2 linked regions of the Mus musculus genome follow. The main gene of each other region encodes a partner of the protein of the gene in region 2 in a complex. Links are inferred from orthologs where the notes say so. Each region holds a gene or a part of one and is shown on either strand. Other genes may lie near its edges.

Evidence for each region.
Region 1: the proteins of Tlr4 (region 2) and Ly96 are in contact, whole or in part, in a crystal structure (PDB 4G8A), measured with the Homo sapiens proteins. The link is inferred for Mus musculus from reciprocal best matches to the Homo sapiens genes TLR4 and LY96. Residues at the interface, in NP_612564.1 of Homo sapiens: Gln39, Met41, Glu42, Asp60, Ser62, Phe63, Asp84, Ser86, Arg87, Thr110, Gly111, Val132, Val134, Glu135, Asn156, His159, Ser183, Ser184, Asp209, Leu212, Arg234, Val259, Glu262, Phe263, Arg264, Asn265, Glu266, Arg289, Ala291, Tyr292; in NP_056179.4 of Homo sapiens: Met40, Tyr42, Ile66, Pro67, Arg68, Arg96, Ser98, Asp99, Asp100, Asp101, Tyr102, Ser103, Phe104, Arg106, Leu108, Lys109, Gly110, Glu111, Thr112, Thr115, Thr116, Ile117.

What each region holds. Positions count from the first base shown.
Region 1 is NC_000067.6:16,681,929-16,698,951, reverse strand, and holds the start of Ly96 (lymphocyte antigen 96 isoform A precursor), read right to left. Parts: upstream 10,497-17,023; 5' UTR 10,445-10,496; coding exon 10,333-10,444; intron 7,269-10,332; coding exon 7,179-7,268; intron 1-7,178. UniProt on the Homo sapiens protein: Binds bacterial lipopolysaccharide (LPS). Cooperates with TLR4 in the innate immune response to bacterial lipopolysaccharide (LPS), and with TLR2 in the response to cell wall components from Gram-positive and Gram-negative bacteria.
Region 2 is NC_000070.6:66,832,677-66,849,078, forward strand, and holds the end of Tlr4 (toll-like receptor 4 precursor), read left to right. Parts: intron 1-1,217; coding exon 1,218-1,384; intron 1,385-6,552; coding exon 6,553-8,803; 3' UTR 8,804-13,905; downstream 13,906-16,402.

The sequences.
Region 1 (17,023 bases), on a different chromosome or scaffold from region 2:
AAAGAAATGGTCCTGTGGATTCTCTAAAAGCAAGATTTATATGTGTGTGAGTGCAAGAGCTGATTTCATAAGGAATTCGTGAGACACAGAGTTAAAGACAGCACTGTTATCCCATGTGACAATCTCCATGAGGCCCATCATGACTCAAGCCTTCGGTGACACCAGGAAAGGAGGTTCTGCTTTGATATCTCAGTGGTTTCTACCTTGAATTGCCTTTGGCCTTGGATATGACCATGATCACATTATCAACAATGAATATAGTGACATGCCACTTCTGAGACTTAGCTAGTCAAGGACAGCAACACGAGTGTTAGAGGAGGAGATGAGAGACAGTGGCCATCATGAGGGTACAAAGGGAAGATTTTTTTTGCCAAGGACAACTCCAGGAGCTGCCAGAAATAACACTAAAGGGACTTACTACACAGAGGTGTTTATCAATTTGTTTCTTTTATACAAAGACCTAATAATAGCCCTGAGAAATACCAAAAAATATACTTTCTATTTCTATTCAATTTTGACTCGTGCTTATAATTATAGCTCTTAATAAATTTAGGTAGAAACAGAACCATAAAAATGAGCCTAGTTTTATGAATGGACTCCATACTTTCTAGAGATTATAGTAAATTCTAGGTACCATAATTGTGAAGCACTTTATGAAAATGACTCAATAATTATTTTGTTACTGGATTAGTATAGATTATTATGTGATATTAAATGAATAGCTAACATATTTATGATAGCAATGAAGGTTTATCACTCAAATTTCCTGCTAAAGAAACTGTTGTAAGGAGGTGTTTGGCAGACTGCTCATCACTGCAGAAACTTAGATCTACTTATCATTCAACTACAACCTTAGACTTGGACAAGTTTACTCTGAAATGATCAAACACTTCAAGGGCCCTTGACACAGGCTGTTCTTATAAGTTTCTAAGTAGCTGGCTGGCTGACTGATTGATTGATTGATTGACTGATTTTGACACAGGGTCTCACTATGTAGCCCTGACTAGCCTAGAACTCTTATGTAGACCAGGCTGGCCTCAAACTCACAGAGCTCCTCCTCCCTCTGATTCTCAAGTGCTGGGATTCAAGGTATGAGCTACCACATCCAGCTCCTGAGGTTTTTTTTAATAATAAAAAAAATTTAATTTTGTTTTTCTGTATGTTTTGATGTTTTTCCTATGTTTGTGAACCACTTGCCTGCCTGGTACCTCAGAGGCCAGAAGAGGGCATTCATCTCCTGGAACTGGAGTACAGACAGTTGTTAGTAACCATGTATGTGCTGGGACTCCAATCCAGATCCTGGGCAAAAGCAGCTAACGCACTTAACCACTGAATCATCTCTCCAGCCCCGGTCAATTTATTTTAAGTCTTTATATGCATGTCTGTGTGAAAGTATTCATGTGTGTGTACAGGTGCCCTCAGACCCTGGAGCTGGAGCTACAAGAGGTTGTGAGCTGCTCCAAGAGGGAGCTAAAAACTGAACTCTGTTATGTAGAAGAGCATCAAGTGCTCTTAATGGTTGTGCCACATCTCCAGCCCTTGCCTTGAAATGCTTATGACAGGCAATCTTTATACTGCAGAATCCTCATTGACTTAGCTGAGAGTATCTCTCAGGTACATTTTGGATTGATGATCGTCCTAAGTCTCTTCCATTTCCCTTTTCTTTTTTGGTTGACTGGTTAATAGGTTGAGTGGGTTTTTATGATTTTTTTTTTGAGTTTGAAACATGGCCTCGCCAGATTGTACAGGCCAGCCTCAAGATCATGAATTCAAACAATCCTCCTGCTTCTGCCCATGTGACTGCAAGAACTGAGCACCATGTTGGACCCTTTTTCTTTTCCAAGGCATCAGACCTGCACTTCAGTCTGATCCTCTCCGTGTCTTCTCTATCTCCTCTCACAAGCATTTGTCCCTCAATACCACCCCCAAAATGTCTAATTTATTTGTTTAGTTCCATCTTGGGCTCTGACTTTCAGTAAACCCTGAGTGCTGAAGTAGTAGTAGTAGTAGCAGCAGCAACAACAACAGTAGCAACATCAGTGTTTGGGTCTGGAAATACAACTTCTTTTTTTAAAAAAAGGAAAGGATTCTTCTGAAAGTGAGATCACTCACTGGGTAATCATCTCCCATTAACACCTGAGGATGAGTCACACCAGAGTCTGGGGACAATAAAAGAGAAATGAAATTACAGAGCCTTAACCAGGTCAAAATTTCACGTTTCTTTTGTTCTTGGTCAAGAAAGCAGAACAAGCAGAGTTGAATCATTTTCTGCTCTGCAGCCACAGATGCTTCAGGCTGTCATTTCAACTGTCCAAGTTACCCTCAAGATTTGTCTCTTCAACTGTCCCACCCAGGGATCCATTCCATAAACAACCACCAAACCCAGACACTATTGCATATGCCGGAAAGATTTTGCTGACAGGACCCTGACACAGCTCTCTCTTATGAGGCTATGTCAGTGCCTGGCAAATACAGAAATGGATGCTCACAGTCATCTATTGGATGGAACACAGGGCCCCTAATGAAGGAGCTAGAGAAAGTACCCAAGGAGCTAAAGGGGTTTGCAACCCTATAGGAGGAACAACAATATGAACTAACCAGTACCCCCAGAGTTGTGACTCTAGTTGCATATGTAGCAGAGGATGGCCTAGTCAGCCATCAGTGGGAGGAGAGGCCCCTTGGTATTGCAAAGATCATCTTCCCCAGTACAGGGGAATGCCGGGGCCAGGAAGCGGGAGTGGGTGGGTTGGGGAGCAGGGCAGGGGGAGGGTATAGGGGGTTTTGGGGATAGATTTGAAATGTAAATGAAGAAAATATCTAATTTTTAAAAAAGACTTGTTTCTTCTGCTGAACTGGCAGATTCTTGCAGGGTGGTTCACATATTAGGCAAGACTTTACCACTAAGCTACACCCCAGCCCCATGACTTGTACATACTTCTACTTCATAGAACCTCTAGACCCTTCTCCATGCCCCTCTTTATGACTGACACTACCACAATTTTTTTAGTTGTCCTACAACCTGACAGATTCCTCCTAATGACTGAACAAGTACAAGGACAGTGAATCAAAAAAAAAAAAAATTCTAGAATTAGATTCAAGGAAACTAACAAAAAAATCTTGTTTGTCGTTCTTTGCCAGGAGCCATGGCCTCTACCTGTTTAGCAGTGTTTTCCTATAATTCTTTGAGAGATTTTTGTGCTTCTTCTTTCTTGTGCTTAGCAGTGTTCTCCTGTATTTCTTTAAGTGAGTTATTAATGCCCTTCTTAAAATCCCCTACCACCATCATGAGATATGATTTTAAATTCGAATCTTGCTTTTTAGGTGTGTTGGGGTATCCAGGACTGTGGTGGGCATACTGGGTTCTGATGATGCCGAATGGTCTTGGTTTCTGTTAGTAAGATTCTTATGTTTGCCTTTTGCCATCTGGAAAACTCTGGTGTTAGATGTTCTAGCTGTCTCTGGCTGGAGCTTGTTCCTCCTGTGCTTCTGTTAGCCTCTGTCAGCACTCCTGGGAGTCCAACTCTCTCCTGAGTACCAGTAGTTAGAGCTCTCTCTGCAGGCAAGCTCTCCTGTTGCAGGGAAGGTGCCCAGAGGTCTGGGTCTCAGCTCTGCCTCCTGGCTGAGGATGAAGGCCCAAAGGGACCCTGTCCAAGAAGTTCTGTTCCTTCTGTGCCCCATGTGCTCTCCTGCTCTGATTGGTCTCTAAGAGACCCGGGATACCAGATGGCACTCTCACCTGAGACCTGGGGTCATAGCCCTCTCTATAGGCCAACTCTCCTCCGTGGTCCTTAGATCCTAGGTGTGAATGATCCCCAGATGCTGGTCTGGTGGGTTTCCAGTGTCCCTGTTCCTGCTCACACAGGCCACTCCCAGCTGTTTTGTAACAGATGTTGCATTCCATTCACCAGTGATCCCAAGATCCTGGGTGTGCTAGGGTGCCTATGGCATGGAAAGTCCTCAGGGGACCATGGGACTGTTCGCAGAGTTTGCACCCAAGCTGGCGCCAACCAGAACAAACCCAATAAGCATTTTATTATTAGTTACTTTGGGGCCTTTTATTTTTAACAGAATTATTGGTTTTATAAAACAGCAGATCGATTCCTTGGCATCGAGATCCTTGCAAATGCATAGACTTGATTTGGCTGACAGAGGCCTTGCTGAACCTGAGGTTGATAATTCTCCTTCAGGAGCTGCATAGGATTCAGACCTGTGCATTCTTGATAATTCTTGATAAAATGAATTCAGTCTGGGCACCAGCATGGGTTGCAAGGCTAAGCACTTCAGGGGAAGGTCTCCCATGGACCATCTCTAAATTCCCCATGAGACAAACCTGGTTTGCAAGGAGGTTTGTATCTGTTTTCAACCTTATCCTAAGGATTTTTCTAAGGCTCTGCCTCTCCTCTCCAAAAGATACCAAGAACCATGACTATAGGTCGTGATGGTACCCATGGGAGGAATCAGGTCAATGCTCCCTCCTGCTGGTTAACGCCCACTCATCCAAGGATGAGATGACTATTGATCACGCCAGTTCCATAGTGAAAATAATTAAAAGGAAGGAGATGCCAGGAGCCATGGCCTTGTGGAAATTTTCTAGCTTACATAAACAATCCTGAAACAATCATTCTCATAACAATAAGAATGTTTGTGGGAAAAGAAGACACTGTGACTGTTGGTTCCAGGAACTGAAGATTGCCACCTGACCTTTGGAAAGCCCCCGGACTCTTCCCTGCTCCCTTGAAGCCTCCTCTTGTTTATGCTTATATTGCCACTCCTGAATAAAGTTTTTCAGAGCTTGATCAGGAAATTGACTTGCTCTCATTCTTTGTGTTTCTTGTCCCTCCCACTCTCTCACTCCCTTGCCCTGGGTCCCTGCTGATTATCCCTGAAGGTCAGGACAATTCTTAAGCTCTCTCTCTCTCTCTCTCTCTCTCTCTCTCTCTCTCTCTGTCTTTGTCTCTCTCTTTCTTGCTCACTGAGACAGGGTTTTACTATGTAGCTTGGGCTGTCCTTGAACTCACTATATAGACGAAGTAGGTCTTGAACTCACAGACATCCACCTACTTCTGGCCAAGAGTTGGGATTAAAGGCATGTGCCACCAACTCAGCTTCTTTCTCAAATTCTTAACTGCTTTTTTTTTTTCTTATAAGATGGAGGTCTACAATCTGAGGAAGAAGGAATGTTTCTTTAAGCTTGTCTACATGATACTGAGCATAGTGGAATAGACATATAACCCAGGACTTGGGAAGCAGAGACAGGAAAATTTCCACAAGTCTAGGGGCAATTTGGGCTCTGTAGTCATTTTTATGTAGTTCGGGTTACCCAGTGGCAACCTTCTCTTAAGGCAGAAGGAAAGAGGAGAACAAGAACAAATTATTGGTATTAGGGGCTCCAGAGATGACTCAGTAGTTAAGAGTGCTCTTCTAAGATCCAAGTTCAGTGCCCAGCATCCATCCATATTGGGCAGCTCACACCAACCTAACACTACACTCTGGCCTCCACAGTCATCCACACATAGGGCAAACACACAAAGAGATATACACATATCCACATAAATAAAATAATAAAAACATGTCTTTTATGAAAGCCTGTTATTTACATGACAACACTTTGTAAAATATAAAACATGCTCCAAGTCTGTGCTGAAAATGGAGACCATAGTGCTAAAGACTAGAATTCCTTTCCTGAGAGCCAGATGTGGTAGTTCATGCCTTTAAACCTAGCACTCAGCAGGCAGAGCAGGCTGATCTGTGTGTACGCGGCCAGCCTGGTCTACTAGTGAGTTCCAGGACAGCCAGTGCTACTAAATGAGACGCTCTCCTCGAATTAAAAAAAAAACCAAAATCCTAAGAATTCATTTTCTGAACCCCAGGGCTTAGAGGAAGCAAGCAGAGCAGCACTGGCTGGCTAATGGGAGGGGATGAGCCTTTGTATTTTCACAGAGCTCCCATCGTCGGCCTTCACACGCTGAGAAGTAATTAAATACAGAATAGAACACAAGGCAAGCACGGTTCCTTCTCTCATGTCATCACCACTATATGTTTTCTAGAAATATCCTCCCTCATGTTAGAGATTGAATGGAAGGCATCACACATCCATGCAAGACCACATTCCCCAAAAAGGTCAACTTTAATAGTAAAGAGTTCTGGGACTGGAAAGATAGATCAGTGTGTAACAGTGCTTGCTGCTCTAAGGAGGACTGGGGTTAGCTTCCCAGAACCCATACCAGGCAGCTCATAACTACCTGTTACTCCAATTCTAAGAGAGCCAAGACCATCTTCTGGCTTCCTCAGGCACTCACACTCACATGAGCACACTCATGTGCACACACACACACACACACACACACACACACACACAGGTGCTAGGAAGGAGAGAAGGAGAGAAGAAGTGAGGGGGAATAAAAATTTTAAATAATAATAATAATAAAAATACTGGCTTGCTCATATACAGATTCTCCAATGGAAACTCAATTACTTCTCACCAGCTGAATAGCTAATAGTTGACAAAGACCACCCATTATTAGCAGGCTCAAGTCATTCCCATTTCTAGCCTATATCCTTGTAAAACCCTCTATATGATGAGTTGTAGAATACAGAAAAAAAAGACAGTACCTGGCTGGAGAGATGGCTCAGTGGCACTGACTGCTCTTTCAGAGGTCCTAAACTCAACTTCCAGCAACCACATGGTGGCTCACAACCATCTGTAATGGGATCAGATACTCTCTTCTGGTGTGTGTATGAAGACAGCAACAGTGTACTCACATACATTAAATAAATAAATTTTTTTTAAAAAAATGACAGTACCACTTCCTTGTCCAAGCCTTTCATCATTACCCTTTGCCAGCTTTGATGAAGCAAGCAGCTAAAGTAATAAGGCCCATGTATCCAACAGCCAGAATCCAGAAACTGAATACTGTCGACCACCACGTGCACTGAGAAGCAGCAACTTCTACAACATGGTCACAATCTTGATCATATCTTTATAAGGGGCCCTGAATGACATGGGTAAACCATGCCCAGACTGCCATCTCACAATAGATATGTGCTATGCTAAGCATATATCTAAGAGTGTGGTAACTTATAATATAGCAATAGATAACAAACATATGTGGAATCGAATTATTCTGAATCTCTAGAGTCCTTTGTAGCCGACTACAAGAGTGAAAGTTTGTACTTACTTGGAATGAACTCAACATGCACAAATCCATTGGTTCCCCTCAGTCTTATGCAGGGTTCAGAACTAATTGAAATAGGGAATTTCAAGTGATCTAAAAGGAATGAAGAAAATACAAGTATATAAAAAAAACTTTCAATAAGTATAGCATTCTGAACATCAGCACAAAAAGATGCTTTTTTATTAAACTTGTATAAGGACTGGTCCACTCTGTTATGGTCACATGCAGGATCATGGGGTTGCTGCTTTCTTCTGACCTGGTGTCGGGGGATTCTCCGGTTCTCAGGATTTATTGGTGTTACTGAGCTAAGGGTCAGATTCTACCTCTGAAAAGCTCATCAAAAGACAGAGGAAGCCAAATATATTCCAGGTGTGGTATCCCATGTCTTTAGTCCCAGCACTCAGGAGGCAGAGGTAGACAGGTCTCTGAGAGGCAAGCCTGGTCTACATACCAAATTCCAGGACAGCCAGGGCTACATAGAGAAACTCTATCTCAAAAAATAACCAACCAAACAAAGACAAATGTTGGGCTCCAGGAGTTGCCTCACAAACCACATGAACACCGATCTCAGTCAGACAGAGATAGTTTATTGAGCATAATTGAGCATACAACTCAGGACTGATCAATCAGGACCACAGGTCAGACTTGGGAGCTGACAGCAACATCTGGTCAAGATCCTATAGGGTTTCTTAAGCCTGAGATCTACAGACATCTGTGCCAAGTTGTTCCACCAATCAGGATTCAGGAAATTTCCTTAGGAACATGTCTTTGTTGCATACTTACCCTGCTCCTCTTTGTTGGGGGTATTCTGTGGCAGGGACTTGCCTTATCTAACATTTATGTCTTAACTTCCCAACCAGGATGTCAGCTACCCACATACATGTCTCCTTCTGCCAAGTAGGATGTCGGTTCCCAGGGAGGTCTTGGGAAATTAAACTTTATCTGAAACTTACTCAAAATGGAAATAGGTGCAGGTGTCTCTCATGCTGAAATCTATCCCAGGGTACCTTGTAAAGGCAAATACTAGAAAAGCTTATACCCCTGTTTAGGAAGTGCTGCTGGGTAGTTGGTTCTGTTCCAAGTTTATTGTGGCTAATTATACAAAACAGTTCTAACTAACTTCTATTGTGATTCCTTTCTAAGAACACCAAAGCACAGAACATCCTACTAACAGCAATAACAGCATGTAAGAAAGTTTCCTTATAATATTAGTAACGGCACAGCATGGCAGGCTAGACAGGTAACAGTTACCTAGGCCTGAACATTTTACCTAGTCCTTAACAAAGACAGTTAAATTGTTACTAAAAGAATAAAGCTGAGGGGTTGGAGAGATGGCTCAGCAGTTAAAAGCACTGACTGCTTTTCTAGAAGTCCAGAGTTCAGTTCCCAGCAGCCATGGCTACTATAGCGTCCTTATATACATAAAATAAATAATTCTTTTTTAAAAGGAGTAAAGCAGAATAATATTTATTATATTTTACTAATTAAGCATATGAAGAGTCACCATGTAGTAGGGGGCTCCATGGTTAAGAGCACTGGCAGAGGACCCAGATTCAACTCTTACCAGCCACATCAGGCAGCTCAAAAGAGACTATAATTGCAGTCCCAGAAAATCTGATGCCTTCTTCTGGCTTCTGAGGGCATCAGCATATACACATATATACATCCAGGAAAACACACACACACACACACACACACACACACACACACACACACACACATATATATAATAAGTAAGTAAATAAATAAATTGACAAAGCAGGGGGCCCAAAAGAAGAGGAAAACAGAGGTTAGCAGACTGAGGACCTTCCTAATGCCCCAGAGATGATTAGTTATTAGTCCCAGTCAGAGTGTTTGGGGACAAGCCAGTCCCCCAAAATAACCAATTTGCAATGCAGGAGTTCTCAAAGTACATTTATAAATTCCCTGCTCCACTTTCAGACAACTAGGCTATGATCTTGCTTTTCCTAGAACTGTCATTTTGGAAGGCACCACCTTCCAGCCACGAAGACATTCCTAGAAGGGGCAGAAAATGGACAACTAACGGAGCGAGCAGCAGAAAGAGGAAACAGATTGAAACAGCTCTCAAGCCCTGTACTAGGTTTTCTGGTCCCAGGCATTTGTTAATGACAAGTTGTAATGTGGCCATAGCGTTAACTATGATCCAATGGCACCAGAGTTTAGCTCAGCTGAAAAATATCTGCAACTCTAGCACTGGAGAGGTCGAGGCAACGGGGAGCATGAGTTTGAGGCTAGCATAAGCTATATAGTCAGTTCTAGGCAGCCTGTACTACAGAATAAGGCACTGTCTCAAAAAAATAAGCAAATAACTCAAAAGGCAGAGGCATATGTATCAATCTCTATGAGTTCCCGGCCAGCCAATGTTATATAGTGATACTTTGAAAAAAATAATAAAATAAGCTGGGCGTGGCAACGTATGCCTTTAATTCCAGGAGGTAGAGGCAGGCAGATCTCTATGATTTCCAACCCAGCCTGTCCTATATAGTGAATTCCAGGTAGTTACAGCTATATAGAAAGACCCTGTCTCAAAACAGATTTCAATAGAGTAATAATTACTGCATAAATCTAAAAATCACTATTCGAAATCAAATAAAATCATTATTTGTCAAGTGACTCATACAGTGAATTCTAAAATAACTTTCATTTTGCAAATTAAAAAAAAAGTGAGGCTGAGAATGTCTAAGTATTTTGCTCAAGGTCACACAGTTGGGGAGGAAGAAGGATGCTTCCAAGAGCACTCTAGGACCACAGGCTGGAGCTACAACCCCACCAGGAAGCACTGTGGGTTAGCCTCCTCAAGAGGAACCAGTTTGTGTCGGGGCTGGTACTCAGAAGCAAACTAGAACTAAGAAGAACCTGAAACCGAGCTCCGAGTGGAGAGAGCTTAACCACAAGACAGCAACAGAGGTAAAAAGCAATTCAGAGGTCCTGGGGAAACGCGGGGGGGGGGGGGGGGGTTGGGAGAGGGAAAGGATGATCCGCACCCGGAAGTGGTCGGCATTGCTCCACCCCCACCCCACACCGCAGCGGGCTCACTGCTGGAGCAGCGTTCCTGCCAGCCCTCCAGCTTCAGGTTCAGTGGAAACTTTCTCTCGAAATAGTTGGCGCCGCAGCTCTTTGTTGCCGGGCCACTTACCACAATAACTGTAGGAAATAATTGCATCGGAGGAGTTGCAGAACCACTGTTGCTTCTCAGATTCAGTCAATATGGGAGAAAGCAGCGTCGAAAAGAGAATAAATGGCAACATGATTTAATATCTCCGATACTTTAAACTCGCCAGGAAGACCATCGGACTCGACAGTAAGGAGGACAGATTTAACTTAGTCAGCAGTCATGTGATTTGGAAGCTCCCATCCAACTGCTTCCTCTTTTTATTTGCATGTGTGACTGTGCATTTGTTTTCATATCTGAGCACTTCCTGTAAGGCAAGAGAAGAAAAAAATGACTTAGAATATACTGTTTCTTAATACTCAGTGTAAACTAAAGTATCCAGCACTTTAAAACAGCACATTTTCAGGGAGACAATTAGCTGCCTTACAGGAAACCCTTACTTAAAAGGAAGTCCACTAGCCGTAGTACACACACCCAGTACTTGACAGGCGGATCTCTGTGAGTTCCAGGTTAGCCTTCTCCAGATAGTGAGTTCCAGGACAGCCAGAGCTATAAGGTGAGATCCTGTCTCAAGAAAGAAAGTCCACCGGTATACTACTTTTCTGTGTGCTGGCCACTCCCTCCCACACACTCCTCCTCATACAACGGTTTCTCCTGACCTAGAAAGCTGCATCTAGCTATCTAAGCTGATTTCTCTCCCCTACCCCCTCTCAATTTCTACTCAAGTACAAACAGGTTCAGCCACAAAACAGACAGGCAAGATGACCCCTACACGGGGTCAGTAGCAATTCCCAGCTGGGACCTCACCAGTTTTGAGAATGCACTCAAAAGGAAGGTTGAACTTGAGGCAATAGTGTTGAGTTGGGGGTGGGGTTGGTGCTGGACTCTAGAGCTCTTCCACAGAGTAGCATCTTGAGGTAAAAGTGTGAGTTCCAGTAATTAAAAAAAAAAAAAAAAAAAGAAAGAAAAAGCTGTTTTGTTCTGGCGTGTATTTCATTCAAAGACTACTTTAGAAAAGTGTGCTTCCTTCAGCTGCACGGCTTTTACAGACTCTTACTTTAGGGTTAGCAGCCAAGAAGGCTTACAGCTGTGGCCTACAATCCGGTTCTAGTGGTGACACTCAACTGCTCACTAAGAACTGTTAAGGTAGCAAGGCAATTGTATTTAAAGCAAAACAATAGAAAGATCAGAGCATACTGTGAGAGCAATGGGTCACCTGAGGATACTCCCGGCCACTGGGTGACTGTGAGGGGCCTCTTTTCATCAAGCCTAAAGGAAGGAGGCACTTGAATCAAGGGGCATAGTTTTGATGGTTCTTTATTTTGATCAATAGATTATGTCATTTAATATTTTTCCTACTATATATGCCCATTTCCATAATGGACCCAAATAATAATTATATAATGTATAATTATATACACACCCAAATATGCATTAGCATAATATGGTAAATAGATTCTTCCTTATAGGATGGTTTACCATATTGAGCACATACCCAAATCCAGATCAGGCCAGTTGGGATTGTCCACTCTTCGTACTGTAAATGTTGGAACACATGAGAATAGAAAGTGTCTAAGTCTGATGGTTGTCAGGGGAGACATACCTATCCCATTGTTCAGAGAAGAGATATGATAGCCCCACCCAGGTGGATGTTCCAGATTGCTAGGTGCATTATTTGGGTAGGGGTATTATGCACAGTATAGACAGGTAAAAGGACTAGGCTGCCAGCTGTTATTAGAAAAGCCGGGGGTGGGAGAGTATATATAACCTGATCCAAACAGAGCCCCAAGTTACTAAAATTCCCTGGGCTTACCTGCCTAACTAAAGACAGAAGAAAAAAAATGTTGTGTCAGTAAAAGGATTTAAACACAACTGCATTTTTCTATTTTAACTGGTTCTTTTAATACTTGAGGATGAGGGGCGCATGTGTGGAAGTCAGAGAACAACTTGTAAGAGCTGGTTCCTTTCTACCACATGAGCTGCAGGTATTGTATTCAAGTCATCAGGCTTGGCAACAAGCATTGTTTACTCAGTCAGCCATCTCACAAGGCCAGGCCCTTTTCTGTTCTAGTTTGTTTTCTGAGGCAAGGTCTCACTGAATAGCTCTGGCTGGCCCAGAACTCACCATATAGATGAGGTTGGCTTTGAACTCACAGAGATCCACCCAATTCTGCCTCTTGAGTGCTTGAGTTTGACACAACATACCACTTTCCGTATGCTTTGAAGAAGATGAAGACCTTGGACTGACATGACATGAACTAGAAGGTAGGCAGAAGCCCCAGCTGCCTAGCCGGGAGGATCTGAATTCCATCTCTTGAAACTGTAAAATGGCCAGGCGTGGTGGCGCACGCCTTTAATCCCAGCACTCGGGAGGCAGAGGCAGGTGGATTTCTGAGTTCCAGGACAGCCAGGGCTATACAGAGAGAAACCCTGTCTCAAAAAGACCAAAAAAAAAAAAACTGTAAAATGAGAGAAGCAGCCGGGTGTAGCACATGACTTTAATCTCAGTACTTCGGAGGCAGGATGAATGGATAATAAAAACACAAATACATTATCGAAAGGAAAAGGTAGCCAGGCGTGGTGGCACATGCCTTTAATCCCAGCACTCGGGAGGCAGAGGCAGAGGCAGGTGGATTTCTGAGTTCGAGGACAGCCTGGTCTACAAAGTGAGTTCCAGGACAGCCAGGGCTATAGAGAAACCCTGTCTCGAAAAACCAAAAAAAAGAAGAAGAAGAAGAAGAAGAAGAAGAAGAAGAAGAAGAAGAAGAAGAAGAAGAAGAAGAAGAAGAAGAAGAAGAAGAAGAAGAAGAAGAAAGGAAAAGGTATCAGCTCAGACCAAGTTCTCAACACAAAAGAGATTTATTGGCCCCAGATAAACAGAGGGCAGGAAATAAGAGACAAAGACCACAGACGATGGAGGATGAGGGAGAAGGGGAAGGGAACGAGGGAGTGAAAGGAGGGTATTTGTCTCAGAGGACAAATGACTGCCTCTGGATAGAGGAGTCAGATGTGGCACATTAAAAAAAAAAAATGGCAGTTCATAAAGGTTTAAGGGGAAAACTGTGTTAGGATGAGATGTTTAATGTTAATTGGGCATGTTATAAATTATGTGAGCCAAAGGGGGCTTTTGATTGCTAAACTTCAATGCTTTGATAGCTGGACCTTGGTAGTCAGCCTCAAGAGGAGGAAGTGGCCAAATAAGGGAATAGACCTTGGTGGCTAGCTTAAGGAATGTAATCTGTTGTTGTTGTTGATGATGTGATGATGGTGTGATGTGATGATAATGTGATGATGATGTAATGATGATGTGATGTGATGATGATGATGTTTTAGCAAGGCAGAGGGAGCCATGCTTGCCATGCTCACCAGAGTCCTAACAAGTTAGGAGAGGTCTTGGAGGAGAAACTATAACCACCATTTTAATAAAGCAGCAAAATCCCTGACTACATTTTAAGTATTTGCCATTATATCCGTAGATAAGTGCCGTATTCTCCCTCCCTCCATTAAGGAAATTTCTCTTTGTAACACATGGAGACCACTATAGAAAACCACAACCAATTAAAATGCAGACTTGTGGGGGCTCAGTCCATGGACACATGAACAAAACACTCCCTGACCTAAGGATCAAGAAAAACTTCAGAAAAGAAGGTGGAAAGACTAAGAGCCAGAGACTCAGAGTGTTTGCTGTGAGACTTTGTATCCTAGTAATGGAGAAAGCTACACTCATAAAGTCTTACCAGCATGACTGCCTAAACATGAAGTGAACAATGACAGTAATAGACGAGGCCTCAACCCTAGACAAAGAACTACAGGCAACTAAGGAATGCTGGAAGGAGGAGGAACAGGGGCAAATATGCCAGCTGGTTATCTAATACCAAATGGCCAGACCTGGAGACACACACAACCAGAAATAAGTTATACTTAGGAATATACATATATATGCATGTACATATATGCATGTGATAGCAATCAATGAAAAAAGTGGCTATGAACTTGAAAGAGAACAGGAAGAGCACATGGCAAGGATTGGCCGGAGAAGAGAGAAAGGGTAAAAATGTAATTATATTGTTTCAAAAACTACACATAAAAAATTATATACTCTAAAAATATAACTACTAGGAACTGAGGAGATGGCTCTGTGATTACAAGAGATTACTGCTCTTGCATGGGACATTGATAAACTATTTCTCCACTGGTAAAATGAGTCAATTCAAGCCAGATTAAATATTAAGGGAAACTGCTCTAGTGTTGAGTTCACTGGCCCCAAAAACTGAGGCCAGGGATGGCACCAAGGTGAGGGGGTGGTAGAAAAAGGGCTTGTGTGTGCTTTCAGAGATAGAAGAAGGAAAGAAAAAGAGAAGGATGGGAGACCAAAATGTCTGGAGTATATAAAGCTGCTTGGCGAAGCGCAGCACAGCTCCTGGAAAGTTAAGGGTTGGGGACAGGTTATGAATGCCAGGTAGAAACTGAGGGATACTGGGAGAACCTGGAGGCCAGGTCTGCACCTCAGTCCCTTATCCCTGGGTCTGAAATCAAAGACATGAATTCCAATCCTGGCATCCACGTTGAAAGGTTCACAGCTCCAGCTCCAGGAGAATGTGACTCATTCTGGCCTTGGCAGACATCCACTCACATACAAATGCATACACACACACAGCCTGCTCTACATGATAGATAGCATGTTTCTGTAATCTCAGCACTTAGGAGGTGGAAAGAAGAGGATCAGAAGTTATTACATTGCAAGGTCAAAAGCAACCCCCAAAACAAAACAAGCCTGTCGAGTTACAAAATAAAAAATTTAAGAAAGAAGTACTCTGACTGGGACTTGCTTTTAAAATAAAATAGTAGAGTAAGTGGCCTAAGTCTAGAAGAAACAGTATCAACTACAAATTTGTCACAGGAGAGATGGGAATGTCACATCCCTTCAATCCCAGACTAGGGAGGCAGAGGTGGGCAGGTCTGTGTGAATTCCAGGCTAATTAGAGCTAGTGAGACTGGGCCTTGAGTGAGTGTGGTTGTACACACCTTTAATCCCAGCCCCCTGCAGAGGCAGGTGGATCTCTTTGAACTCAAGGCCAACTTGGTATAAACAGTGAGTTTCAAGACAGCCAGAGATATGCAGAGAGATCTTGTATTAAACAAACAAACAAAAAATGATTATTAATGTGGGTGGCAGAGGCTGCAGGATCATTGTACTCTTCTACTTTTATGGGTGTGAACCCTCAATGAAAAGATATGGCTCACACTTTAACCCCAGCAAACCAAAAGCAGAGGCAGGTGGATCTTTGTGAGCTCCAAGCCAGCCTGATCTATTTAGTGAATCCAGGCCAGCCAAAGTTACATAGTAAAATCCTATCTCAAAAAAACAAAAACAAAACAAAAAAACAAAAAAAAAACAAGCAAACAAAAGGATATGAATGTATTTTTAGCCAAGTTATTCAAGCTGAGGCTGTCAGTACCTAAGGGCCATTTTGTTATCTTTAAAAAATATTCCTTTTTATTTCACATGTTTTTGTTTGTATGTATGCTTGTGTGCCATGTTCATTAAGCCATGTTAGAGTCTGGTGTCCTTGGAGACCAGAAGAAGATGTCCCCTGAAGTAGAGGGACAGTTATATGGTGCTATTTGAATGCAGGAACCAAACTTAGGTTGTCTGGAAGAGCAGCAAATACTTTTAACTTTTAAGCCACCTCCTCAGCCCCCAGTTTGTTATTTTTGCTTCTGAAACTGGAGTCCTTCAATACAATGAGACCATCATTAAACACAAGGATTATTGGAGCTGGAGAAAAGGTCCCGTCCATAAAGTGCTTGTCCCTCTGGTGTGAGGAAGAGTCCAATTCCCAACATCAAAGTGAAAAAAGCTGAATGTAGCATGAAGCTGGACTCAGACACAGTACAGGCAAAGATGGAATGATGCCTAAGGCTAGCCATTCTAGCTCCTGGTTCAGTGAGAGACCCTGGCCTTAAAGGAAGTTAGATGGTGGCAGCTGTGCCTGCCTTTAGTGCCAAGAAGCAGAGGCAGGTGGATCTGTGATTCCAGGCCAGCCAAGACTGCCTAGAGACCCTGTGTCTAACACAGCAATTCTCAGCCCCTGGGTCGAGGTGTATTTATTGTGAATCTGTTTACGGGTGTGCCTCCTTTTCCTTCATAGGTAACCTGCCCGGAGGAGACGGAAGTGGGATGAAGGAAGGATGTAGAGTGTTAGTCCTTTTCAACTTGGCCTGAGGTTTTTTGTTTTGTTTTGTTTTGTTTTTTGAAATTTAAATGTTGCTATGTAGCCCTAGTTGACCTTGAACTCCAAGGCCATCCTCTTGCCTCCCATGTTTTGGGATGGCATATAGAGCTGATTTTATGAGTTGTTTCTCCTAACTTATTTTAATGAGGCTTCTATGAAGATCAAACTGTTCCACATGTTACTCACTCTATATTATACAAAAGAGTGGCTTTCAGGGTGTCCCTTGACCTTGGTGACTCCATTTTACACAGCAGCATTGGCCTCATCTTTAGTGCATTGATGGAGCAGAATGACTCTGCACAAACCAGAAACACAAAATGAAAAAAAAAAAAAAAAAAAAAACTTCTCCCTGAAGGTACAAAGGTGTCACGCATAGATTTAAAGTACATGAAGAACATAGAACACATGGCTGTGTTAAAACTCGTCATGCACATGCTTTTAATCCCAGCACTCAGGAAGCTGAGGCAAGCACAGCAGGA
Region 2 (16,402 bases):
GAAAATGATGAATTAGAACAACAATAATTTTACATAAAAGTATATACAAGCATACATTAACATGGCTTTTACATACAACTAGCGAGGTTCACAGAAGATATTATAAAGTCAAACCAGCACACAAGCAAAACTTTGTCCCACACTCAGTATTCTTTAGTTCTTTGTGTAGTGTTAAAGACTCCTGCACATGTGTAGCTGTTGGCCTTTTACATCTCATGTGCAGGCAGCCATGTCAGTGAAACTTTATGGGTGTAGCTTTTGACATTAAGAATCACAGTATCACAGTAAAGTTCGTAACCTTTGGACTCATAATCTTTCGTCCTCCTCTCAGTGATCCCTGACCTGTAGGTGTTGGAGTTGTATTGTAAGTGCTTCCATTGGCACTGGACTCCAGAATTCTGCATTTTGGTTGGTTGTGATTTTTTTGTCGTGATCTCTGTTTATAAAGTGGGAGAAATAGTCTTTCCCAAGCAATAGCACAGCAATTAGTTACCAAATGCCAAATGGCCAACCCTGAAAACATATACATAAGTAATATTATACAAACTGAACAGGTTCTACTTATATATGTGGGATTTTATTTATACAATATACAATATATATATATCAACAATTAATGAAGCGGGCAACACGGACTTGAAAAACAGCAAAGACAAGGGAGTAAGAAAAAAACTTTAAGAGTGGAAAAGGAAAAGTGAAGTGATATAATTATAATTTCAAATAATAGTAATAAAAAAGATCTACTCTGTACCAAGTGGCACACAACACTTGTTATGAAATTAAGGTTTTCAGACTTGAGAGTTATGTAACACCTGATTCTATTGTTTCTCATTTAATCATAATTTTGTTGTAGCAGAATGTTAACATATTGAGAATTCAGGGGATATTTTTTCTTCCTGATATGTGGAATAAGATGTCTTGCAAATATGAAGAGGCAGATAAATAAATGGAGAAGGATGGGTGTGATACCATATCCCCAGAATGGCAGGTATTTTGGGAGTCCAATGTTATCTTTGACTGTATAGCTAATTTAAGGCCAGACTGGTCTATAGGAAAGCTTGTTTCAACCAAAATAAATCATGAACGAATGAATGAATAGGTGGACAATATGTTGAGTGGCATGTACATGTGAGAGTTTTATCACCCCATTATTCATCTTTGGAGAGGAGTGGGAACACACGGTTGGAAACATAACAATTGTTGTGTGGTATTTACAGGTAGTTCCTAATATTACCTACCAATGCATGGATCAGAAACTCAGCAAAGTCCCTGATGACATTCCTTCTTCAACCAAGAACATAGATCTGAGCTTCAACCCCTTGAAGATCTTAAAAAGCTATAGCTTCTCCAATTTTTCAGAACTTCAGTGGCTGGATTTATCCAGGTAATGAATGAGCTTTTATGTGATGCAGAATGTGAAGTAGTTATTTTTTATATCATTGCATTCTTGGCTTAGAAAACCAAGGTGGTTCTAACTAAACTTCCTTCTGTCATCTATTCAGTAGTGCTACAACTTGCTGTAAATCCTTGGAAAAGCTACTTTTATTTAACTGGTTTCAGTTGGATGGGCCACTAGATAAGAATATCTAAGGGCAATTCTAACCTCTACATTATTTAAAACAATTTCATTAGATATTTATGAACCATGTCTTATATGTTGTATGTCTAAACTACAGAAGAAGAATTTATAGATACAAAACCCATACTCCTAATTATTAAGCAGGATAAAATCCTCTTTAACAAATAAGTAAGTTAAAGTCTTGTCCTTATTATTGAACATACAGCACAAATAAAATAAATGTTAACTAATGCTAATACTGTTGTTTATAACAGTAAGTAATAAAATATGTGAAAATAAGGGCAACACACTGTGTCCTATAGAAGAGTGAATGTTTTGTTATGTGTGTGAGAGGATCAGGAAAGATTTTGAGACATGAGTACATATGTAAGATACCTGAAATATTGAAAGTAGAAAAGAGAGTAGAGATTGAAAAAAAAACTAACTTAGGAGGGAGATGTAAATGTCCAAGTAAAACATCAACTATGGGCAAGAAACAGTTACTAAGATTGTCCTTTCTGATTCAGGGCATCTTACCATTTGTTGGAACATAAAAACTTTTAGCCAGTATTTCAGGCGGGAAGCTCAATATATTTTATTGGTTAAAATTGCTCTTTGACAATTTCATACATCTATGTAATGCATACAGCTACTCTTACCTTCACCCACACTGAGTTTTCTCTGATCACTGTTAGCTCTGACCCCTTCCAAAATGTCTCCAACCTATATTCATACCTTCTTATTTATTGTTTGACCCACTGATTTTAACCAGGTTCTCTGTGTGACCATAGATTTAGAAAAACCTATCTGAGACTAGTGAGGTTAACCATTTGATAAGCAACTAAAACCAGTGACGGTTTCTCCCCAAAAATCTAAACTTTGGCAGAGAAGAAATGATTCCATGGTCCCCTCCATGATCAGTAAATATCTATTGGCATGATCAGTGCAGGGAACCACAGCTTCTATGACATCAGATTTGCAAAGTCTTTGTCATGTCCCACATGTCCCTCATGTCCCACAAATCCCTCCTCTCTCTGTCTCTTGGCTCTTACATTTCTATCAGATTCCTCGTCCTTTATAATCCCTGACTCTTGGAGAGGGATTTGTGAATGTTCATTACAGGGGTGATCACAGAACTATGTTTTGCTTCTTCTAGCATCTTGTACATCTAAGAATATCCTCATTCACTACTGTTTACTATAAAGGGAAGTGACATTTGTTAAGGGGTATAAATGTAAATATTTAGACAGAAGTCTGGTACTATGCTAATTTAACTAAACCACAATAACCAATGCCCTCTCTGCACCTCAAACATCAGGGTCATAGGCCTCTCTAAGCAACATTTTTTGAACAGGTTAACAGTACTAGCCTTGGACAAAAATCTAATCCAAGAAAGCTTTGTTACTCCTAAAATAGTTATGCCAGAATTTCAGCACTGGACACATCTTGCCTGGCAGGTTCATGTAATAGTTCATCTGGGCCATAGCTGGAAGAGACCAGTAATGATTTTTCCCCACCAGCCTTCATGACACCTTTCTGCTGAAAGCAAATCAGCAGAGAGAACATTGGTTGTGCTTCAGCTTCATGTCAGTGGGTTGTACTGATCAAGGAGATCCTTAGGTGTTGAAGTTGAACGATGAACCTCTTCTCTACCATATTCCTAAAGCTACTGGAATGTTTCACACATGTGTTTTTGTTCTAAAATTTAGAGTATGGTATTAAAAGTCTTCTGCAGAGCAGACAATACTGTAAATCATTAGTGAACTAGAAAATGTATTATACTCTTTACAGGAGCATGATAGATGGAGAATTCCAAAGGAAGAGGACCACAGCTCTGTTGGTGGAGCCTGTGCTTTCTCCAACGTTTAGCACCATGTGCCCTGTTGCTTGTAACTTTTCCTGAGTCTCTGTCTTCTCTCCTAGTAAAGGAAAATGGTAAATCTCCCTCCATGGTGAAAAGTTAATAAATGAGAGATTATTAAAATTATTTAGTGAGTTTATGAGTTTGAAAACATGCTATCATAATCACTTTATTAAATTGTACATTCTACTTATCCCAGGGAGATAGATTTGAAGAGAACTGAGGTAAGCAGGTAAAAAACTCTAAACAGAATAATCTCTTTTTAATATAGAGAACATAGTTTTTCACCCAGTATAATTGAGAATTGATCTAAAGTATAATGTAAGATAATTCCTTAAAGGTTTGGAGTTTGTATTCAGGAAAAAGGTAAGTTCCTCTTCCCTTAGCTCACAGGATATTTTGCATTAGAGCAAAGCAGACAATCTACTCCTGTGCCTTTCTTTAAAAAAAAAGATAATTTTCATTATGTAATTTCAAATGTTGTCCCTTTTCCTGGTTTCCCCCCCTGAAAACCCACTATCTTCACCCCCTCCCCCTGCTCACCAACACACCCACATCCACTTACTGGCCCTGGCATTCTCTTATGTTGGGGCATAGAACTTTCACAGCACCAAGGGCCTCTCCTCCCATTGATGACCAACTAGGCCATTCTCTGTTACATATGCAGCTAGAGCCATGAATCACACCATATGTTTTCTTTGGTTAGTGGTTTAGTCCCAGGGAGCTCTGGGGGTACTGGTTAGTTCATATTGTTGTTCTTCCTAGCACTGCAAACCCCTTCAGCTCCTTGGGTACTTTCTGTATTTTATTCACTGGGGACCCTGTGCTCCGTCCAATGGATGGCTGTGAGCATCCACTTCTGTATTTGTCAGGCACTGGCAGACCCTCTCAGGAGACAGCTATATCAGGCTTCTGTCAGAAAGCTCTTGTTGATATACACAATAGTGCCTCAATTTGATGGTTGTTTATGGGATGGATCCCCAGGTGGCAGTCTCTGGATGGTCATGCCTTCAGTCTCTTCTCCACACTTTGTCTCGGTAACTCTTTTCATGGGTATTTTGTTCCCACTTCTAAAAAGGATTGAAGTATGCACACTTTGGCCTTCCTTCTTCTTGAGTTTCATGTGTTTTTTGAATTGTATCTTGGGTATTCTGAGCTTCTGGGCTAATATCCAGAATTAAGTGCATATCATGTGTCTTCTTTTATGACTGGGTTACCTCACTCAGGATGATGCCCTCCAGGTCCATTCATTTGCCTAAGAATGTCATAGATTCACTGTTTTTAATAGCTGCATAGTACTCCACTGTGCAAATGTACCATATTTTTTGTATCCATTTCTCTGTTGAGGGACATCTAGGTTCTTTCAAGCATCTGGCTATTATAAATAAAACTGCTATGAACATAGTAGAGCATGTGTCCTTATTACAAGGTGAAGCATCATCTGGATATTTGCCTTGGAGTGGTATTGCTGGATCCTCAGGTAGTACCATGTCCAATTTTCTGAGGAACCACCAAACTGATTTCCAGAGTGGTTATATCAGTTTACAGTTCTGCCAGCAATGGAAGAGTGTTCCTCCTTCTCTACATCTTGCGAGCATCTGCTGTCACTTGAGTTTTTGATCTTAGTCATTCTGACTGGTGTGAAGTGGAATATCAGGGTTGTTTTGATTTGCATTTCCCTGATGACTAAGGATGTTAAACATTTTTTTAGGTACTTTTCAGTCATTCAGTATTCCTCAGTTGAGAATTCCTTCTTTAGTTCTGTACCCCATTTTTCAATATACACAATCATAATCATATATGTATGTATATGATTTGGCAATAGAATCCTAACAGAAAGTGGAAACTTGAGAAAGAATCAAACTTAGTTGCCTCATTTAGAAGTGGAATGATAGAAACTCACAGAAATTAATGGGTTCCCAAGATCATGCAGGAAGAATGGAGAGTTAACATGGCTCCATGGATTCCTCTTGCGATATTCTTTTTAACATACCTCTACCTTTTGTTAAATTACTAAGGAATAACCAAATCACAGACCAAAACTCTTTTATTACCTATGAATACTCCAAAGAAAATAGGAAAAGTGAGGGAAGGTAATTGGGTTAGATTTGGAAGTGACTCTTTTGCTAAATGTATCTGGCATGCATCTATGACAACATCTGTCATGAATCACTGTTGGCTGCGTCTGAGTTCTGTGGCTAGCTTGTCTCTGTGGAAGCTTTACGTAGTACAGCTTACATTTATCTTGGAATAAAATTTAGAATATTTCATTGAGCTTGTGAGTCTACACTATTCCCACTCTTGCCATACCTTTATATTATTCTTCCTCAGTTTCCTTGTTGCCCTTCAGTCACAGAGACTCTGTTGTGGCTCCTCCGTCTGGCATGCCTGCTAACTACTACAACTTTTGGATCGCTGTTTTCTTCATATATTCTTCACATTCGCTCATATTGATCATTGAAATTTCCACTTACTTATTCTCAAGTGTAATCTGCTTTTATCTGGTGAGAGAGGGTCAATTCTTTTGATGTGAATATTCTTAACCCATTTTCTTCTTCTTCTATAAAGCTTACTCATGTCCCTAATAATTAACATTTACCTGTGATAATGACAGACTCAAAATAACTAGCCATCATATATCAGTAAAGTTTTGTAAACATTTATGCCATTCTTGACTCTTGACACCTATGTGTCATTATATATGCCTTTAAAATTAACTTTCACCAGTAATTTATCATGACTAGCAAATAATGACCACCCATATTGCCTATACTCATTAGTTGTAAAATTATATCTATGTCTGGAAAAAATGCATAAATTAATCTAAGACTACTACATATCAACTGTCTTTATGTACCCCAGTTATGATCTTGAATTGATTTTTTCTAATGGATTTGCTGCCTGACATAGTGTGATAGTTTATCATCACTGTAGCAAGTGTGAAAATGACAAATCTGCAGAGTTCCTCTCCTGCTCACACCATCATCACCTGTTTTGCTCTGTACAGTTTTCTCTTTACAATAACATGGTATATCATATCTGTTTGTATCATAGTATGGTAGGGACTGTTATGTCATTAGAAAGGGTTTTTTTTTCAGCAAAAATACATAATTGGTATCTCTTTTGCCCATAGGTGTGAAATTGAAACAATTGAAGACAAGGCATGGCATGGCTTACACCACCTCTCAAACTTGATACTGACAGGAAACCCTATCCAGAGTTTTTCCCCAGGAAGTTTCTCTGGACTAACAAGTTTAGAGAATCTGGTGGCTGTGGAGACAAAATTGGCCTCTCTAGAAAGCTTCCCTATTGGACAGCTTATAACCTTAAAGAAACTCAATGTGGCTCACAATTTTATACATTCCTGTAAGTTACCTGCATATTTTTCCAATCTGACGAACCTAGTACATGTGGATCTTTCTTATAACTATATTCAAACTATTACTGTCAACGACTTACAGTTTCTACGTGAAAATCCACAAGTCAATCTCTCTTTAGACATGTCTTTGAACCCAATTGACTTCATTCAAGACCAAGCCTTTCAGGGAATTAAGCTCCATGAACTGACTCTAAGAGGTAATTTTAATAGCTCAAATATAATGAAAACTTGCCTTCAAAACCTGGCTGGTTTACACGTCCATCGGTTGATCTTGGGAGAATTTAAAGATGAAAGGAATCTGGAAATTTTTGAACCCTCTATCATGGAAGGACTATGTGATGTGACCATTGATGAGTTCAGGTTAACATATACAAATGATTTTTCAGATGATATTGTTAAGTTCCATTGCTTGGCGAATGTTTCTGCAATGTCTCTGGCAGGTGTATCTATAAAATATCTAGAAGATGTTCCTAAACATTTCAAATGGCAATCCTTATCAATCATTAGATGTCAACTTAAGCAGTTTCCAACTCTGGATCTACCCTTTCTTAAAAGTTTGACTTTAACTATGAACAAAGGGTCTATCAGTTTTAAAAAAGTGGCCCTACCAAGTCTCAGCTATCTAGATCTTAGTAGAAATGCACTGAGCTTTAGTGGTTGCTGTTCTTATTCTGATTTGGGAACAAACAGCCTGAGACACTTAGACCTCAGCTTCAATGGTGCCATCATTATGAGTGCCAATTTCATGGGTCTAGAAGAGCTGCAGCACCTGGATTTTCAGCACTCTACTTTAAAAAGGGTCACAGAATTCTCAGCGTTCTTATCCCTTGAAAAGCTACTTTACCTTGACATCTCTTATACTAACACCAAAATTGACTTCGATGGTATATTTCTTGGCTTGACCAGTCTCAACACATTAAAAATGGCTGGCAATTCTTTCAAAGACAACACCCTTTCAAATGTCTTTGCAAACACAACAAACTTGACATTCCTGGATCTTTCTAAATGTCAATTGGAACAAATATCTTGGGGGGTATTTGACACCCTCCATAGACTTCAATTATTAAATATGAGTCACAACAATCTATTGTTTTTGGATTCATCCCATTATAACCAGCTGTATTCCCTCAGCACTCTTGATTGCAGTTTCAATCGCATAGAGACATCTAAAGGAATACTGCAACATTTTCCAAAGAGTCTAGCCTTCTTCAATCTTACTAACAATTCTGTTGCTTGTATATGTGAACATCAGAAATTCCTGCAGTGGGTCAAGGAACAGAAGCAGTTCTTGGTGAATGTTGAACAAATGACATGTGCAACACCTGTAGAGATGAATACCTCCTTAGTGTTGGATTTTAATAATTCTACCTGTTATATGTACAAGACAATCATCAGTGTGTCAGTGGTCAGTGTGATTGTGGTATCCACTGTAGCATTTCTGATATACCACTTCTATTTTCACCTGATACTTATTGCTGGCTGTAAAAAGTACAGCAGAGGAGAAAGCATCTATGATGCATTTGTGATCTACTCGAGTCAGAATGAGGACTGGGTGAGAAATGAGCTGGTAAAGAATTTAGAAGAAGGAGTGCCCCGCTTTCACCTCTGCCTTCACTACAGAGACTTTATTCCTGGTGTAGCCATTGCTGCCAACATCATCCAGGAAGGCTTCCACAAGAGCCGGAAGGTTATTGTGGTAGTGTCTAGACACTTTATTCAGAGCCGTTGGTGTATCTTTGAATATGAGATTGCTCAAACATGGCAGTTTCTGAGCAGCCGCTCTGGCATCATCTTCATTGTCCTTGAGAAGGTTGAGAAGTCCCTGCTGAGGCAGCAGGTGGAATTGTATCGCCTTCTTAGCAGAAACACCTACCTGGAATGGGAGGACAATCCTCTGGGGAGGCACATCTTCTGGAGAAGACTTAAAAATGCCCTATTGGATGGAAAAGCCTCGAATCCTGAGCAAACAGCAGAGGAAGAACAAGAAACGGCAACTTGGACCTGAGGAGAACAAAACTCTGGGGCCTAAACCCAGTCTGTTTGCAATTAATAAATGCTACAGCTCACCTGGGGCTCTGCTATGGACCGAGAGCCCATGGAACACATGGCTGCTAAGCTATAGCATGGACCTTACCGGGCAGAAGGAAGTAGCACTGACACCTTCCTTTCCAGGGGTATGAATTACCTAACTCGGGAAAAGAAACATAATCCAGAATCTTTACCTTTAATCTGAAGGAGAAGAGGCTAAGGCCTAGTGAGAACAGAAAGGAGAACCAGTCTTCACTGGGCCTTTTGAATACAAGCCATGTCATGTTCTGTGTTTCAGTTGCTTTAGAAGAGTATTGATAGTTTCAACTGAACTGAACGGTTTCTTACTTTCCCTTTTTTCTACTGAATGCAATATTAAATAGCTCTTTTTGAGAGGTCTTCATTCCAATTTCATCTTCCATTTTATGTCATTTTCTTTTCTTTTTTTTTTTTATCTAATTCTATAAGAAATATGATTGATACACGCTCACAGATAGCCTGGCCAATCCTAAGAATGCTATATTTATTAAATACAATTCCTAGTATACTTTTACTTTTATAAATTCAGTTATCGTTTTTCATGCCTTGACTATAAACTAATATCATAAATAAGATTGTTACAGGTATGCTAAGAAGGCCCATATTTGACTATAATTTTTTAAGAAAGTATGTAAAATATACTTTGTCATATTGTCACTGAATGTCATTCTTAAGTTATTACCTAAGTTATGGATGTCACAGAGTCAGTGTTAAAAATAATTTGGTTGATAGAAATATTTTTAATCAGGAGGGAAAAGTGGAGAGGGGTGCAGGAACAGAAATCATGATTTCATCATTTATTCTTGATTTTTCCGGAAGTTCACATAGCTGAATGACAAGACTACATATGCTGCAACTGATGTTCCTTCTCATCAAGGATACTCTCTGAAGGACTTGAGAACATTTTGGGGAGGAAGAAAGGTCTAACATCCTTTTCCTTCATCATTCTCATTTCTGGACATGCCTTGTGAGATGGATGAATGTTGGGAGTACACATTTCTGCTTTCACCTTATTTCAGTCAGCATGAACACTGAATATATAATGTCATTTCACAGTGTGTGTGTGTGTGTGTTGTGTATGTACATATATGAACCTGTACATGTGTTTAAGTTTAAAGAGAAAATAGTGTACAGAGCAGCTCTATATTTGTGATAGGGCTTTAAATAGTTGAGCTAATTCAGAAAAGTATGGAGATTTCTTGGTAAAGGAAACCAAAGTAGAATCATTACAAGATCTAACAATAAAAATTTTGAAACAATCCTACAAGTAAATATATTGGATTTTCTTGTCCATTAAGACAATATTCATACTATTGAAATTATGGAAACAACCCTTGGAAGGTTAATGCATAGAGACAGAATGCTATCTACTTGCAGTGGAATGTGATTTGACCTTGGAGAAGAAGCAAACCTTGCTACTTGTGAGCAGATGCATAAAGGTGGAGGTTTTTTATTGTAAGTGAAATATGCCAGGCACAGAAGGAACTGGCCTTTCAGGAACTTTTGATGACATGAGCAAAGTTAGAAAAAATAATATGCAGAACAATAGAAGAGGAAGACAAAAGAAAGACAGCCCTAGGATGTATTCTTCACAACGATTTTAAACAATATGCTTGAAAGAGAATGAAGTTATTAGTATCAATTAAGATGTCTACAATTTTCATAATTCCATTCAAACTGGAACATAGCCACCTAATTATTTGTCTCTTGTTAGCCAAGTGAAATAGCAGATCAAGAATCTCCCCATTTTTCTGATATAAAAACCCAAATTCTAATGCAGTAAATGTCTTGTCAATCAGCCAGATAGCACAGAAGAGGCAAGGCGACAGTCTGTGCCCCTTCCCTCTCACAGAAACTCCTGTGCACTCTAGCCCACTGCTTCAGGCTACAAGCTAGAAAAGCAAGAAGTGAAAGTGCCACAGTTCTCTATGTGGTTAGTGCCAGTCAGGGTCATTCAACTTAAACCATGAGTCATTAAGAAAATACATATGCATGCATGCATTAATGCACAGAGTAGTTTATTTATAACAACTCTTTCCATAAAGGGCTGGGGAGTTTTCAACAAAATATAAAGGAACAATTAGTTTAATCAAAAGAAAGAAATATAGGCAGAAGAAAGAAATGAAAGAAAGAAAGGAAAGTTTTAACTGTGTATTCCAGGTTTAATTCTAGAGATCTTCTGGAATTTTAGAGAGTGTGACTTTTGGAGAATTCCTAAACTCATTTTCAGATTATATTACGTATGTGACTTGGCCTTCATCTGTCTGAGAGCTAAGAAAGAAATGAAGATCATGCATTTATTATTAGGCCATTACAAACTAATAAATATAAAGATAAAAGGGAGACTCTGTGGATGAGTCTCCCTCTTGGCTTTCTTATGGGTAGTCAGAGAGAAGCACTCAGTAGCCTTATCCTTGACAACATTTTTGTCACATTTGTTTTCCCAGTCTGTAGGACAACAGCAGTCCTTATGACTAAAGTAGATTGTATCTTTTTTACCTAGCTTCTATTCATCTGTGTTGTCCTAGCTTCCTTTTTGAGTCTACAGCCTTTGAGAAATCACTAGAAGTCACTGGAACCTCATGCTTTGACTTGAGGCAGTCCTCATATGTGTTCCTAGGTACTCGAGGGGTCAGTTGGGAGACTGGGGAGCCATATCTTAACCATCAGCTTTGCTTCCTTGGTGTTGAGCATCATGCCTGACAAAGTAAGCAGACAATGCCTGTATACGTGAAGAAGAGGAGAATCATTAATGCATGTTTTCTTGGTGTGCTGTTGTCCTTGATACATTCCAGTTCAGAATCTAAAGTCCTAGGGATCTTAGCTGTCAACTTAGTTTTCCCTGTCTGTCACTTTGTATGGATGATTTAAATTGCTTCTTCACTTGGTTGCTTGACACCATGTATTCTAAAATTTTGTGGAAGGTGTGTGTTGGGGGGGGGCGTAGTTCTAACAATAGTGTTCTCTAGTGGATACATTAAAATCATATTCAGCTAATTAATATTTGATTAAGTTTTGCATGCTATACCGATTTGATAAACATTCACAAAATCACAGGCTTCAAGATTTTTCTTAACACATCCAAAGTACACAGGCATTAAATGGGCAAAACTAAATATCAAACTGACTTTATTTAATAGTTTCTCTACTGTTCTCTTTTGTTTTATGTCAAGAGTTGAATGCCACTGTTCTGTATTTTTAATTATTTATTGTTTGCTATTGTGAGAATTCAAAGCCAGAACTTTGAGGAGCTGACAGAGGCACTGTGGCCTATGAAGACAGTTTTTGGAGTTAACAATTTCCTTGGTAACTATGGACTATGTCTCCACACTTCAGCTCTCATATCTGATGGAATAAACTCCTTTCCAGGAGGCTTCTACTTATGCTAATGCACCCAAGCAAACAAGGAGGCTAATAGAACCAGCTGTTTCTGTCTTTATAGCAATTTCCCAACATTCTACACTTGAGGATTTCTTCTGTCACATGATTTTTTTCATTGGGCATTCTTTCAATCCTTCATTAAATGGCCGAGACTTCTCACTAGACCCCAACTCAATGAAATTCTTAAGCTGCTAGCATTGAACAACACTGACTTTTTCAAAGCACCTTGATAGGGAATTTAAGCTGGACCATCTGAAGCAGGAAAGTCTGTTGTTTTGATGGAATTTCCTAATGGTACCATTGTGGCTTTATTTTGCCTTGTTAATGTAAGGGATTCAAAGCATTTCAACTTACTACTCATAGTTCAAGCATCTATTTTGCAGATGCACTGAAAATTAAGAGATTGGAGAGTTTGTCATATATATTTCCATCATCAACTATTCTAGTTCTTACTAAAGAAGGAGGGTGCAAAAATTTGAAGGATATGTTAAAGTGCCTTCTATACTTAATGATTCTTCTAGAAAAGGCAAAGTGTTGATCTTGTTCTTTGTTATGGTATTATATCTTCTCATGGTAATTTGAAAGAAGTTTACATACCAATTTCAGTTTGTTTACCTAGGCCTTGAGAGTCATTCTACAGTACACGATTAGGCTACTATGAAGACAAAAGAAATCATTGTGGGGAAACTCAGTACAGCTCTAGATTTACCTTTTATAATAGATGAATCCCAGAATGATAAAGATCAAGCCTGGCATGATGTTAATTTAGTGGGCTAGGATCCTGGAAACCTCCTAAAATAGGACATCCCATGCATTTGGCCTTAGCCAGTGAGGCATCTCTGAGAAAGTGTAGAAAAACTTGCAAGGAGGTTCAGTGCTCTGAAAGACACAGAGTCAAATGTACATGTAATTCCAGTTCTTCTTTTATATATGTGTACTTTACATAGTCCCTGAAGTATCGAGAGGCTCAGGTATAGGTGCTACCACCTTGATAGAGTTCACTTAGCCAAAATGCAGAAATGGATGCCCAGAGAGAATAGATTACTTGTCCTGCATCCTGTAACTTAAAATGTGTTAATAATCATCATAATAAATTCTATCTGCCAAATATTTCATATGTGCATGAGACTGTTTTAGTTTAATTATTAAAATTGCTTTCTGATGCAGCTCTTAGCCACATTGTCATTTCCCATACAATGAAACTGAGACCAAAAAGCAAATTCTCCAATTCCAAGGGTAGAATTCAAGTAATCCTGATATCCAGAGCTGCTAATTTTTTGCCACACAGTAGACTGCTGCAGTGTCTGGGCTTTTTTGCTGGGGCTCATTCACTCACTAACGGGAGAATCCTGTGGACAAGGTCAGCAACTCCCTTACCATCTAGAAATTGAAGGTTTCAAAGGCACTGCATGTGACTTTCCTTGATTTCTATGGAAATGAAGATGGTCCCTCCTGTGACAGTGCTAAGTGCCGAGTCTGAGTGTAAATGTGCTTTTTGGCACAAATTGTTCTGTTCTAATAGTGTTGATTATAATTATAAAATAATGTGTTTCTGAAAGGCTGCAAGCAATTCTGGGAATGACAATAAGGGTTTCGAAACAACATGGTATTTATGTGAGAAGTGTTTTGTTGAAAATTAAACCTGTGTTTAGGAGAAAGGATCCTGTTGTTTGCTCCTAAGAAACTATCACACCATGTAATTAAATCAGAGCCAGTTGGTTGCCAATTGGAGTTCTTGTCTCACATGAACAATATTGTATCACCTACAACAAACAAGATATGACTGACCAGAGGTAGCCAAGACTCTTTACCCAAATCCTGTTTCTCTATCTTCTCAGGGCCCAGAAAAAAGATGGAAATGCATGGTCAGTTTTTTTCCAAGGCTGGGAATTAACCTTGTAGGGTGAAGCCTTCCTCAAGTTCATCTCAGATTGTCCGTAAGGAATAGGTTTTTCATTCAAGGGCCTTTTATAGGAGGCTGTATCTGTAAATAAGTGAGGAATTCAATGTTTGAGAGGCTGTCTTGACTTCCTTTCTTGGGAGGAAAAACAAAATCCTTCTATGAAGATTAGGAATGTCTTCGATGTTCTCAGACCTCAAAGGCAGAAAAAAGTATGCAGTGTAATTTGTTTGTATGTATCTCTCTTAAAATAATATCTACCATAACATTGTCTCCCAACCCGGATTTGTGTTTTATTTTCACCAAGGACATCATAAGGTTTAAAGCAGATCTTGCAAGGGACGTCATAAAAATAGATATATGACAGGATGGTAAAGTTTACCAGGCTGAAGAACCACTTGATGATTTTGGCTATATTTAATTATATAAATTTCTGCTTTTATTATCTCTCTTGCTAGAAATTTTATTTGATAACTAGAGTTTAATAATCTGTATTTTTAAAAATATTCTATGTGCAATTTTAAGTATAAACAGATCTGGAAATTACTATTTAAGAGGCAACAGCCTATAATGTACCATGTTTAATATGGCCATGTGCTCTGTCCTTGAGATTTACTGCTGAGAGCCAAAGAAAGATCAACAAAATGGAACGGGAAACTTATTTATTTATTTATTTATTTATTTATTTATTTATTTATTTATTTATTTATTTATTTTAAAGAAAAAGGTGCTTCATTTATCTGATGATTTTATTCTTTTACACTGTGTAATTGATTCTTCTCAATTCTATCTGATCAGACTCATGTGGAAGAATCTGTCCAGTTTGATGTAATCTTCAAACATCCACATAGAAGTTATAATCTGACAGTCATGTGTTTCTCCTGGTTTCTACATTATATGTTGCCTTCTTCATCCCCTTTTGGAATTTGAGATACATAAGCTTAAATCAGAATAATATCATGGTCTGTCATGAACTCTCTGAGGCATCTGTTGACAGCTTTAATTTATTGGTTTATCAACCCCAAACATACCAAGTCTAACTTACCTCCCATTTGTAAACTGAATATTCACTTGTCACTGACATACACAGCTGCAACAAATGGCCTTCTCTGTAAAGCACCAGGCTCTCCTGCACAGACTTACCACATAATTGTCAGTCTTCCCAGGAAACCCTTTTCATTCCTGTTGAGGGGAGGTAAGGCAGTGAGCACTAATAGCTTAAATTCAGTCATTTTGACCTTTAAACTACCAACCCTGAATCTTCTGGAGGAGTCTATGGCTCCCCAGTGGGAAACGCATGCTGGAGAAACTTACTACTTGCAAAAAGCACTTTTGAAATAAGCTGTGGGGATGAATCTCTGCTTAATGCTGTGCTCAGCTCACTGCAGGGTCCTGCGGAGTCTTTACTCTTCATCTTCTGCAGCATGGGCTGTGGCCTGAGAGCTGCACTGCTAAGTGTAGGGAGCCTCCTTTCTGCCACTCACTGAATTAGGGTCTGACCAATTGTGTCATTCAGGGTGCAGACTAGCCACTAGAAAACTTCCTCTGAGCTCAAGTATCATACCCCGAGAACGGCACAGAGAGGTAGGACCATTATTTTTGCAGGGCATGAGTTGCCTGCAAATTAGATGGGTGTATTTTTTTATGGTTAATGTGCTGGTTATTTTTACTTATCATGATTGATGAGTGGTAAACAATGACCTCTATAAAAATACATGTGTGTTTAGAATATGAGTTTATTAGAGGGAAAAAACAAAATTTAGCAGAGAGATGCAGATGTGGAGAGAGACAGGAGAAAGGGCTAGAGATGGATATCAGCAGTTGGGGGCAGAGGTGTGCATCTCTATAATGTGCCAGAGACCTGGTGTGGAGATGCTTCCAGGAGTCTATGGGGGTGTCTTTAACTTCAGCTAAGAGATCCTAGCACTGGCAGATACAGAGCTTGAAGTGGCAACCTCCTTTATAGCCAACTAAGATCCCTCAGTGGAGGGATAAGGACAACAACCCACTCACAAAACTTTTGACCCAAAATCTGTCCTGTCTGCAAGAAGGGACAGAAATGGAACCGAGATTGAGGGCATGGCCAATCAATGACTATCCCAACTTGAGACTCATCCCTCTAGACTGAAACACAAAGAAAAGGGCAAACATGGGCAGAAATTTGGACCCTGAACTTATGTAGCATATGTACAGCTTGGTATTCATGTGTGGATTCCTCAACAACTGCAGCAGGGGCTGTCCCTGAATCTGTTGCCT